Linked DNA regions of Saccharomyces cerevisiae S288C. The gene in region 3 interacts genetically with the main gene of each other region. Each region holds a gene or a part of one and is shown on either strand. Other genes may lie near its edges.

Region 1 (3,716 bases), on a different chromosome or scaffold from region 3:
GTATAGGAGCACGGTTTACCCCTTTTGCTATTGACACATGTAATATCGCATAAAAAAGAAACCGCACTTCATAGTGCATAAGCAGTACAGAAATGATATCACATGTAAGTGATAGCGATTTGACTGTTTGCTACCGACAAGACTATCTGAAATAAGAAAAAAAACGACCCCAGTGAGGGTTGAACTCACGATCTTGCGATTAACAGTCGCACGCCTTAACCAACTTGGCCATGGAGTCACTTTAAATTCTGCAGAACGTGAAAGGTTCGATTTCCATGATCTACACGATTTTAATCATCTGTAAGCCTTGCCATGAAGCTAAATTGGTGAATTTTTAAGAATTGTTTTGTTGGAACGAGAGTAATTAATAGTGACATGAGTTGCTATGGTAACAATCTAATGCTTACATCGTATATTAATGTACACCTCGTATACGTTTAAGTGTGATTGCGCCTATTGCAGAAGGAATGTTAAACGAGAAGCTCAGACAATACTGAAGCTGTGTTAAAGACCTATTAGTTGAACATGTTATGGTAGGTACATATATGAGGAATATGAGTCGTCACATCAATGTTTAGTAACTACCGGAATCACTATTATATTGGTCATGATTAATATGACCAATCAGCGTGTGTTTTATATACATCTCTTATTTAGTATAAGAAGATCAGTACTTATTTCTTCATTAATACTAATTTTTAACCTCTAATTATCAACAGAGGAATATGAGGATTCCTAGATCCTCGAGGAGAACTTCTAGTATATTCTGTATACCTAATATTATAGCCTTTTTCAACAATGGAATCCCAACAATTATCTCAAAAATCACCTAAGCCTCACATGCATGTTTTACGTTGTGGTTGATGATCTATTGATGTTGAGGTACCATATTTTGAAATTCATTAAAACAACTTCTACCGGGCGTGTGGTCTAGAGGTATGATTCTCGCTTAGGGTGCGGGAGGTCCCGGGTTCGAGTCCCGGCTCGCCCCCATTGATTTATTTTTATCAAATTTTTTAATATTGCATATCTTTAGTGGGCAAAAAATTTTTCCCTGGGCAAAAATATAAGAGAGCTCATCTTATTGTTGTCAGCCCAATGATTCCCTTGTCAAATTGAATTTTCGGATTTACTTGTTCAGGTACCCGCGTTAAGGGGCTGCCGCGCCTGTCACTCTAAGAAAAAAGGAGCCATCAAAAACCATTCAGCATTAACTAAAAACGCGGGTAGAGATTACTACATATTCCAACAAGACCTTCGCAGGAAAGTATACCTAAACTAATTAAAGAAATCTCCGAAGTTCGCATTTCATTGAACGGCTCAATTAATCTTTGTAAATATGAGCGTTTTTACGTTCACATTGCCTTTTTTTTTATGTATTTACCTTGCATTTTTGTGCTAAAAGGCGTCACGTTTTTTTCCGCCGCAGCCGCCCGGAAATGAAAAGTATGACCCCCGCTAGACCAAAAATACTTTTGTGTTATTGGAGGATCGCAATCCCTTTGGAGCTTTTCCGATACTATCGACTTATCCGACCTCTTGTTGTTTGAAAATGTCAATTGATATCCATCCATTATATAAATGCTCAAAACTTGCAGCAACTATTCTTTACCCTTCCCCTGTTATGGATTGCTAGTCTTAAGGGGGAAATTTGCTGTTTACTAAAATACAAACCAGGTTTGTTTTGGCTTTTATTTGCATTTAAGTAATTACAATTACAACCATTAAAAAGAAAATAAGGCAAAACATATAGCAATATAATACTATTTACGAAGATGTCAGCGATATTATCAACAACTAGCAAAAGTTTCTTATCAAGGGGCTCCACAAGACAATGTCAAAATATGCAAAAGGCTCTTTTTGCACTATTGAATGCTCGCCACTATAGTAGCGCCTCCGAACAAACGTTGAAGGAGAGATTTGCTGAAATTATCCCAGCAAAGGCAGAAGAAATTAAAAAATTCAAGAAAGAACACGGTAAAACCGTTATTGGTGAAGTTCTTTTGGAGCAAGCTTATGGTGGTATGAGAGGTATTAAAGGCCTTGTTTGGGAAGGTTCCGTGTTAGACCCCGAAGAAGGTATTAGATTTAGGGGTCGTACTATTCCAGAAATTCAAAGGGAACTACCAAAGGCTGAGGGTAGTACAGAACCTTTGCCAGAAGCTTTATTTTGGTTGCTTTTGACTGGTGAAATACCTACTGACGCTCAAGTTAAAGCCCTTTCTGCTGATTTAGCTGCCAGATCAGAAATTCCAGAGCACGTTATCCAACTTTTAGATAGCCTCCCAAAAGATCTACATCCAATGGCGCAATTTTCTATTGCCGTGACTGCTTTAGAAAGCGAGTCTAAGTTTGCCAAAGCATATGCTCAAGGTGTATCCAAGAAAGAATATTGGAGCTATACATTTGAAGATTCGTTAGATCTGCTGGGTAAATTACCTGTTATTGCTTCCAAAATTTATCGTAATGTGTTCAAGGATGGTAAAATTACTTCAACCGATCCTAATGCTGACTATGGTAAAAATTTGGCCCAACTTTTGGGCTACGAAAACAAGGATTTTATTGACTTAATGAGACTATATTTAACTATTCATTCTGATCATGAAGGTGGTAACGTTTCTGCCCATACTACACATTTAGTGGGTTCTGCCTTATCTTCGCCATACTTATCTTTGGCCGCTGGTTTGAATGGTTTAGCTGGCCCATTACATGGTCGTGCCAATCAAGAAGTTTTAGAATGGCTATTTAAATTGAGAGAAGAAGTGAAAGGTGACTATTCAAAAGAAACAATTGAAAAGTACTTGTGGGATACTTTGAACGCAGGGAGAGTTGTTCCTGGTTATGGCCATGCGGTTTTGAGAAAAACTGATCCTCGTTATACGGCTCAACGTGAATTCGCATTGAAACATTTCCCAGATTACGAGTTATTTAAGTTGGTCTCCACCATTTATGAAGTTGCCCCAGGGGTTTTAACTAAGCATGGTAAAACTAAGAACCCATGGCCAAATGTTGATTCACATTCCGGTGTTTTATTGCAATACTATGGTCTAACTGAGGCTTCGTTCTACACTGTATTGTTTGGTGTTGCCAGAGCTATTGGTGTGTTACCCCAATTAATCATCGATAGGGCTGTTGGTGCTCCAATCGAAAGGCCAAAATCATTCTCCACCGAAAAATACAAGGAGTTGGTAAAGAAAATCGAAAGTAAGAACTAAGGAAAATTTGATTTTTGATTCAGGGTATGCGACTATTCAAACACGTATTTTCATATACGAATGAGTAGTTTATAATTTATATAAATATATATTACATAAGGAAATGGCTATGACTTCATGATTTTTACGCTTTGAGTCCCCTATGCCTACCGGTTATGTTATATACTTGGCAAATGATATCAATGAATAGAAAACAAAATGCTCTTAAATTCCTGCAAAGCGCTTTCAAATCGAATTGTGGTGGGCTGGCGCGCTGATTTAGCAGTAAAATCTAGCCTGTAGTCGATATACTACGTCAAGGTGTAACTAACGTTTATATGTATATGAACCTGCAGAAGAAGCAAAATGACAAGGTTAATGCATCTTTATCTGTCCTAGAGTAGAAGATACACTAAAAAGTTGATAAAGCGAATATAATATGGTCATGTGAAAAAAGCAATCTCATAAAATTTTCTCTTTTTCCTTTTTTTCTTCTGTTCTTACCTCAAGATAAATGTCACT
Region 2 (3,349 bases), on a different chromosome or scaffold from region 3:
GTTATCAGGGAAAAAAAATGTAGGAAAAGCCTGCCACTTTTATACACCATAGATAGACTCATGTCGTTATTGGAAAATGGAAAGCCTTCCTTGCTTCCTTGTTTCCTTGTTTGCTGGTGTCACTTGGCTCGACTACCTTTACCGTTGCAACAGCCCCTTGGACAAAGCTTATTTGGCCCCCACGAGAACGCGGGGAAAGATGATGCCGTAATATAGGCAAAAAGGGGTATTGCGGAAGAGATAGTGAAAGCTCATCAGAATACAAAACATTATTGCTTTCTGACTATCACATTGTTGATGAGTGCCCTGCCCTTCCCCTGGATGACAGACTACAGAATTCACCGTTCAGGAACAAGAGCAAAATTGAGCCCGCAGGCCACTAGCCCACAGAGATCCTTGTAGTTGCTTGATAGTTGTTTGTAATTATAGTCGTACGTGTGGTATAGTATGCCATCATATATACTTATACATACATACATATATATATATATATATATATGTGTGTGCTCGAAATTATTGATTTGCGACTTCGTCGTAGTCATCGTCATCACTGACATCTATGTCACTTAGATCCTCGCTTAACTCATCTACGCTATCATCGCCACTGGAAACACCAGTGCCATCCATATCTTCATCAGAATCACTGTCCTCTTCTTGTAAATCACCGCCGCTATCACTGTCATCGCTATCATTATCTCCGCCAAACATTTGTTGGTACTTTTCCTTTGTAGCATACTTGTCTATATACTCTTTGATTTTTTCCTCATACAGTTTTTTATCTCGTAATTGCAATGTGGCAGCTTCGTTATTCAAGGGATCGCTACCATTAGGCTCCTTTAATAAACCTGGTATCATCCACTCCACTATATTTATCAGATCATATAAAGGCGACCATGTAGAGTTAATTACGTCCAAACATATGGACCCCGATGCGATATCAATGTTAGGATGGAATATCTTGTTAACGAACCCTATGCTTGGCGACTTGTATGGGTAATTATCCGGCAACTCTACATGTAACCTCCAAACCCCATTTTCGTAGGGTGTATCCTTTGGTCCCAAGAACTTTACATGAAACTCTTGCATGCTATCATTGATTAAATCCACTTGATGATCACTCATCAACAGTTTCATAACATCTGTCTCGATCCTTCTTTTAGAGCTACTGTTTCATTAAACGATATCTTTGAAGTTCATTGACATTTTCTTTGTTAGTGATCCTCATTCTATGGCATACTTTCTCAGAAGAGTGATATATAAATATACGTATATATCTTATCAAACATACCTCATCTTTCGTATTACGCTCCTTTCTTCCAATATTCCTTATGAAATACTATTAATATTTTGCTCTTACTTCTAAATTATATTCGAAAACTATCTCGCTTGATAATTACGGATTACACTATTTATCAAATGTGGCAGAACTGGAAATCCTACCTATGCTTTACGTTAGTGATACTTAAGCGCAGATAGCTGTTTCCGGTGCTCACCCTTTTTTTTTTTAATTCCACTGCTCCGGGAGCATTACCCGGTGGACGAAGCTCAACCTACTATTATTAAATAAGAAAACGTAAGAATGTATATTTACGCAGATGTGCACACGAGCATTGAAACAAGGATTAATGTGCCACTGATAGAATTCAGACTGCTGTGTGATTAAGAGGAAAACAAATTATCGTGAAGAATCGTTGATTCGCCTTTATATATTCTTGTATTCTTTAAGAGACATGCATTGCGATAATTTCCCCATGATATTCTTAACCTTATGAAGGGTCAGTCTACTGGAAGGTGCATGAAATATGAGTGAACGTATTTTCATTAGCAGATGAGAGACACCGGGATTAAAAAAACTATGTGAAGAATAGTGTTGATATATGATAAAATTATTGTGGAAATCAATAATTAAGAGGTTTTATAGTGTAGTGGTTATCACTTTCGGTTTTGATCCGAACAACCCCGGTTCGAATCCGGGTAAGACCTATTTTTTTCCCCCGCTCAGCTAACTTGTATTTTTAATAGATCTCCCACCATCAGAGGACGAAGAGAGAACTGTATTATCAATTGTGTTTTATTACAATATATTCTAAAAACGAAGATATAGATGTTATCTAGAATTGGTTTTTGTATGTAGCCCTTCTCTCCCGCTTTCTCACTTTTTGAACATTACCTCACTACAGTTGCCATTCAACAATGTAACGAACATTATCCGTAGGTAAAATTTACGACACTTCAAACTTCTAGAAGGAAATAGGCATATACTACGGAACAAAGACAGCCTCTTATTCGTTTTTAAGTTTTTTCTTCTTTTATTAACAAAAAAAAAAATAAAATAAAAAAAATCAATTGAAATTAGAATAGAGTAGAGTAGGTAGAAGTAATATGATGTAAAAAAAGGAAACAAAGATTAAAAAGATGGAAGAAATGGAGAGAAAGAAAATAAAACTTCTGAGAAGAAAATTTTGATAAAAATTATAATGCCTAGTCCCGCTTTTGAAGAAAATCAATGTAAAAATTGTAAAATCTGTTGAGTAATATTATACAATTCCAAACTTGCATCCTCTACAGGTTGATGTTCAGATCCTGTGTCATTGTTATTACTGTTGTTATCATTCGAGCTTGGATTGTTGTTGCTCCCCGGATTTTTAACATCAATTCCTGATCTTTGTAAACGCTCAAAGGTCACATCTGCCATTTTTCTCACTCCGTTAATGATGTCGTCATCATTTTTAACCAAATCTTCCACTTTATCATTATGACTTTCTAGCAATTGTAAAATTGTCCATAGCGCAATGTGTTCAAAGGTAGCATAGTCACTTTTCAAAAATCTAATCAGAAATCCACGAATGCCTTCATTCGGACGATCCCATGCTTCAATAATTTTTGTATAATTATTCACTCTTGAACATAGATTTGCCAAAGCAGCAGCAGCATTACCAGAAACTTCTTGGTTCTGGGAAAAAGTCATAGGGATTAAAGCATCTAAGATATTTGCTTCCAGTAGATCCAATTTGGAGACATCTGCTAGGGCTAAAATAGCAAAACATGCGGAAATTTCACTTTGAACACTAACAGGTGAATCTAGAGCCAGTTCCTTACATTTTTCGACAGCACCACTTTCGAAGAACTCTTTTCTGTTTTTTTCAGATGATGCAGCCAAATTTCTCAAAGTAGATACGGCGTGACATTGAATTTCTTCTGAATCCTTATAGTCCAACAATCTTACTAATGGTTTTAAGAAACCTGCATCAACAATTAAACCTTCATTTAGAGGGTGAATAGAAATGTTTCTAATGCATGCCACACTAGCCAAAACCAGTGGTATAGAATCACTTTGAATCAACTTTAC
Region 3 (3,341 bases):
TGGAGAATTTCTTAATTAATTATACGACACATCTAGAATACACGAACAAACTTTTAGTGGAAAAAAATGATCAGCAACTGGTAAAGCTGCAAAATGGATTAAGAAGGAAACTGTCGGGGAAATACGAAAAGATTATCGAACAAAACAGAAATCAAGTAAAACAGTTGGAAAGGGACCATATGTTTTTCAAAAAGTCATTTGAAGTGAAGAAAAGAAGAAATAATGAAAAGCAAAAAAGCATGGAAAGGGAAATAGAAGACTTGAAAACTAGGTTAGAAGTGGAACGATATAAGAATTCACAAATGATGAAGAAGAACAAACAGAAAGAACAAGAACTCTCAACTGCATCTAAAAAAAAGACTACCGAACATGACACTAGAGGCGTCCCGGGCATGAATCCTAAGGGTACTGACAAATTTAGCATCAAGAACACGCTATGTAATCATTTCACACTATTAACATTTGGAACTATTTCCATCGGGATTATAGCTATTGTCTTCAAGATCCTTTCCCCCAACTAGCATCGTAAATACAAGACACACACGATCCGCTTTTCACGTCAGAGATTATTATATACGTACGTATATATGTAATAGATATTCACATGTAAAAAAAGGTAAGCATCCTTTCATTTAAGAAAGTATGGGGGGAGTCATCCGTCTCACGGATTCTTTTTCAAAATATTGACGTCGTCAATTTGCATTCTTTCCAAAGTTTTTATTCCTAGCAGCTTTGTCATTTCTTTGACAAAACTAATTGCTACACTTTGCACATTTACAACAGCATCGGGTCGTTGTTCCATAATTGAAGTAGTCAGTGTATTTTTCAAACCGCACATTTCAAAACTATTCATATACGATAGATCTGTATTAACATTAATTGCTACCCCGTGCGATGTTATGGAACGTCTGACGTGTATTCCAACACTAGCAACTTTCTTCTTGCCATTTTCAACCCAAACTCCAGTGTCCTTTGTAGTCATAGCATCTAAGTTCAAAGGCTTGTCAGTGTCGTCGCACATCTTGGTATTCTTCAACGTTCTGATAGTGGCCTGCTCAATGCATGAAACCAAGCATTTAGCAGGGAAACTTTGAAATGTTTTCAAATCTAAAATAATGTAAATAACAATTTGGCCTGGACCATGAAATGTTACTTGTCCACCCCTTTCCACTTGAACAAACTTTGGTCGTGGGTTGTCCTTTTGCGTTTCTGGAATGAAACTTTCATAAGCCGCTATCTGATCTGGCGTCATAGTTTTCTTAATCCTCTTCCCACCTGTATAAGTTGGCTCAAACTCAAACGTTAATATTATCGGATTAGGTTTCATTGCCATAACCTTGTCTAATATTCTTTTTTCGTTATCATTTATTGTTGCAGTGCCCTTATATTCTTCATCCAATTGTATTAATTTTCTCTCAATCTTCGATTGAATGTCTTTGATGTCCAAATTTGCCCTAACTAATGTCTCCTGTATTTCCAATCCTTTTTGAAAAGGTATTCTTTGAGTGAATTGTAGATGTCTGAGCGTTTGCGCTGAGGGTTTTATAGGATGTGTCATTTCCTTGAGAGCAGAGGCATAAGTGCTAAAGCATTGTCGCCTACAGACATTGAAGTTTGTGCATACGGACTGGCGAATACACCTCGACATGGGGCTGAAGCTTTCGACAAATCTTAAATTGTGACTTTGTGCATGAAATTTTTATATGAACGTTTTAAATAAGTGGACATAGTCCTTCATTCGGTATATGCAGATCCGGCATCAAACACTTTTTCAAGAAAGTTTGAGTCAAAAGGATTAAAGGATAAAGTAAAACAACAATAACATCTCCGTGAAGCATTGAGGGAAGGGTTTAACTCCAACAATGTCACTGAACAACATAACATTCTGTGTCTCACAGGATCTGGATGTTCCCCTGAAAGTGAAAATCAAGTCATTGGAAGGACATAAGCCACTGTTGAAGCCATCTCAAAAAATCCTGAACCCTGAATTAATGCTGATAGGGTCAAATGTATTCCCTTCTAGTGATCTAATTGTATCCTTACAGGTATTTGATAAAGAGAGAAACAGAAATTTAACTCTTCCGATATACACGCCGTATATTCCTTTCAGAAACTCTAGAACCTGGGATTATTGGTTGACTTTGCCCATACGTATCAAACAGCTTACCTTTAGCAGTCATTTACGCATTATTTTGTGGGAATACAATGGATCCAAGCAAATTCCCTTTTTCAATCTAGAAACGAGCATCTTTAACTTAAAAGACTGTACTTTAAAAAGAGGGTTTGAATCCTTAAAATTTCGTTATGATGTGATTGACCACTGTGAAGTGGTCACTGATAACAAAGATCAAGAAAATTTGAATAAATATTTTCAGGGTGAATTCACGAGACTCCCTTGGCTTGACGAAATCACTATAAGCAAATTAAGGAAACAACGGGAAAATAGGACTTGGCCTCAGGGCACCTTTGTCTTAAACTTAGAATTTCCAATGTTAGAGCTTCCTGTTGTGTTCATCGAAAGGGAAATTATGAATACTCAAATGAATATTCCAACTTTGAAGAACAATCCTGGACTAAGCACAGACTTACGAGAACCGAATAGGAATGATCCTCAAATCAAAATTTCTTTGGGGGACAAATATCACTCCACATTGAAGTTTTACGATCCTGACCAACCAAACAATGATCCAATAGAGGAAAAGTATAGGAGATTGGAAAGAGCATCTAAAAATGCAAACTTGGACAAGCAAGTGAAGCCGGACATTAAAAAGAGGGACTACTTGAATAAAATCATCAACTACCCCCCTGGCACTAAATTAACAGCACATGAAAAGGGTTCAATATGGAAATATAGGTATTATTTGATGAACAATAAAAAAGCTCTTACAAAGTTATTACAGAGTACAAATTTGAGAGAAGAATCGGAAAGAGTAGAGGTTTTAGAACTAATGGACTCATGGGCAGAAATTGATATAGACGACGCATTAGAACTATTAGGCTCAACTTTTAAAAACCTTTCAGTGAGATCGTACGCCGTAAATAGGCTGAAGAAGGCATCAGACAAGGAGCTGGAATTGTACTTATTACAGTTGGTAGAAGCTGTCTGTTTTGAGAACCTGTCCACTTTTTCCGACAAATCTAACAGTGAATTCACTATTGTGGATGCCGTATCTTCGCAAAAGCTTTCGGGTGATTCTATGTTACTATCTACATCGCATGCCAACCAAAAATTATTAAAGTCCATCTCGAGTGAATCGGAAACTTCCGGGACAGAATCGCTACCAATCGTCATTTCTCCCTTGGCTGAGTTTTTGATTAGGAGAGCACTGGTCAACCCAAGG

Evidence for each region.
Region 1: mutations in LIP2 (region 3) and CIT1 together harm fitness less than expected from each alone (positive genetic interaction), as found in Saccharomyces cerevisiae (2 studies listed by BioGRID).
Region 2: mutations in LIP2 (region 3) and UBC8 together harm fitness more than expected from each alone (negative genetic interaction), as found in Saccharomyces cerevisiae (2 studies listed by BioGRID).

The regions. Positions count from the first base shown.
Region 1 is NC_001146.8:629,121-632,836, reverse strand, and holds CIT1 (citrate (Si)-synthase CIT1), read left to right. Parts: upstream 1-1,775; coding exon 1,776-3,215; downstream 3,216-3,716. UniProt on the Saccharomyces cerevisiae protein: Specific citrate synthase with catalytic activity only with acetyl-CoA.
Region 2 is NC_001137.3:129,716-133,064, reverse strand, and holds UBC8 (E2 ubiquitin-conjugating protein UBC8), read right to left. Parts: upstream 1,294-3,349; coding exon 1,289-1,293; intron 1,166-1,288; coding exon 514-1,165; downstream 1-513. Other genes in the region: protein anchor VAC8, read right to left, coding at 2,504-3,349. UniProt on the Saccharomyces cerevisiae protein: Catalyzes the covalent attachment of ubiquitin to other proteins. Required for the adaptation to the presence of glucose in the growth medium; mediates the degradation of enzymes involved in gluconeogenesis when cells are shifted to glucose-containing medium.
Region 3 is NC_001144.5:615,671-619,011, forward strand, and holds LIP2 (lipoyl(octanoyl) transferase LIP2), read right to left. Parts: upstream 1,649-3,341; coding exon 662-1,648; downstream 1-661. Other genes in the region: FAR10 (Far10p), read left to right, coding at 1-521; phosphatidylinositol 3-kinase VPS34, read left to right, coding at 1,863-3,341. UniProt on the Saccharomyces cerevisiae protein: Catalyzes the transfer of endogenously produced octanoic acid from octanoyl-acyl-carrier-protein onto the lipoyl domains of lipoate-dependent enzymes. Lipoyl-ACP can also act as a substrate although octanoyl-ACP is likely to be the physiological substrate.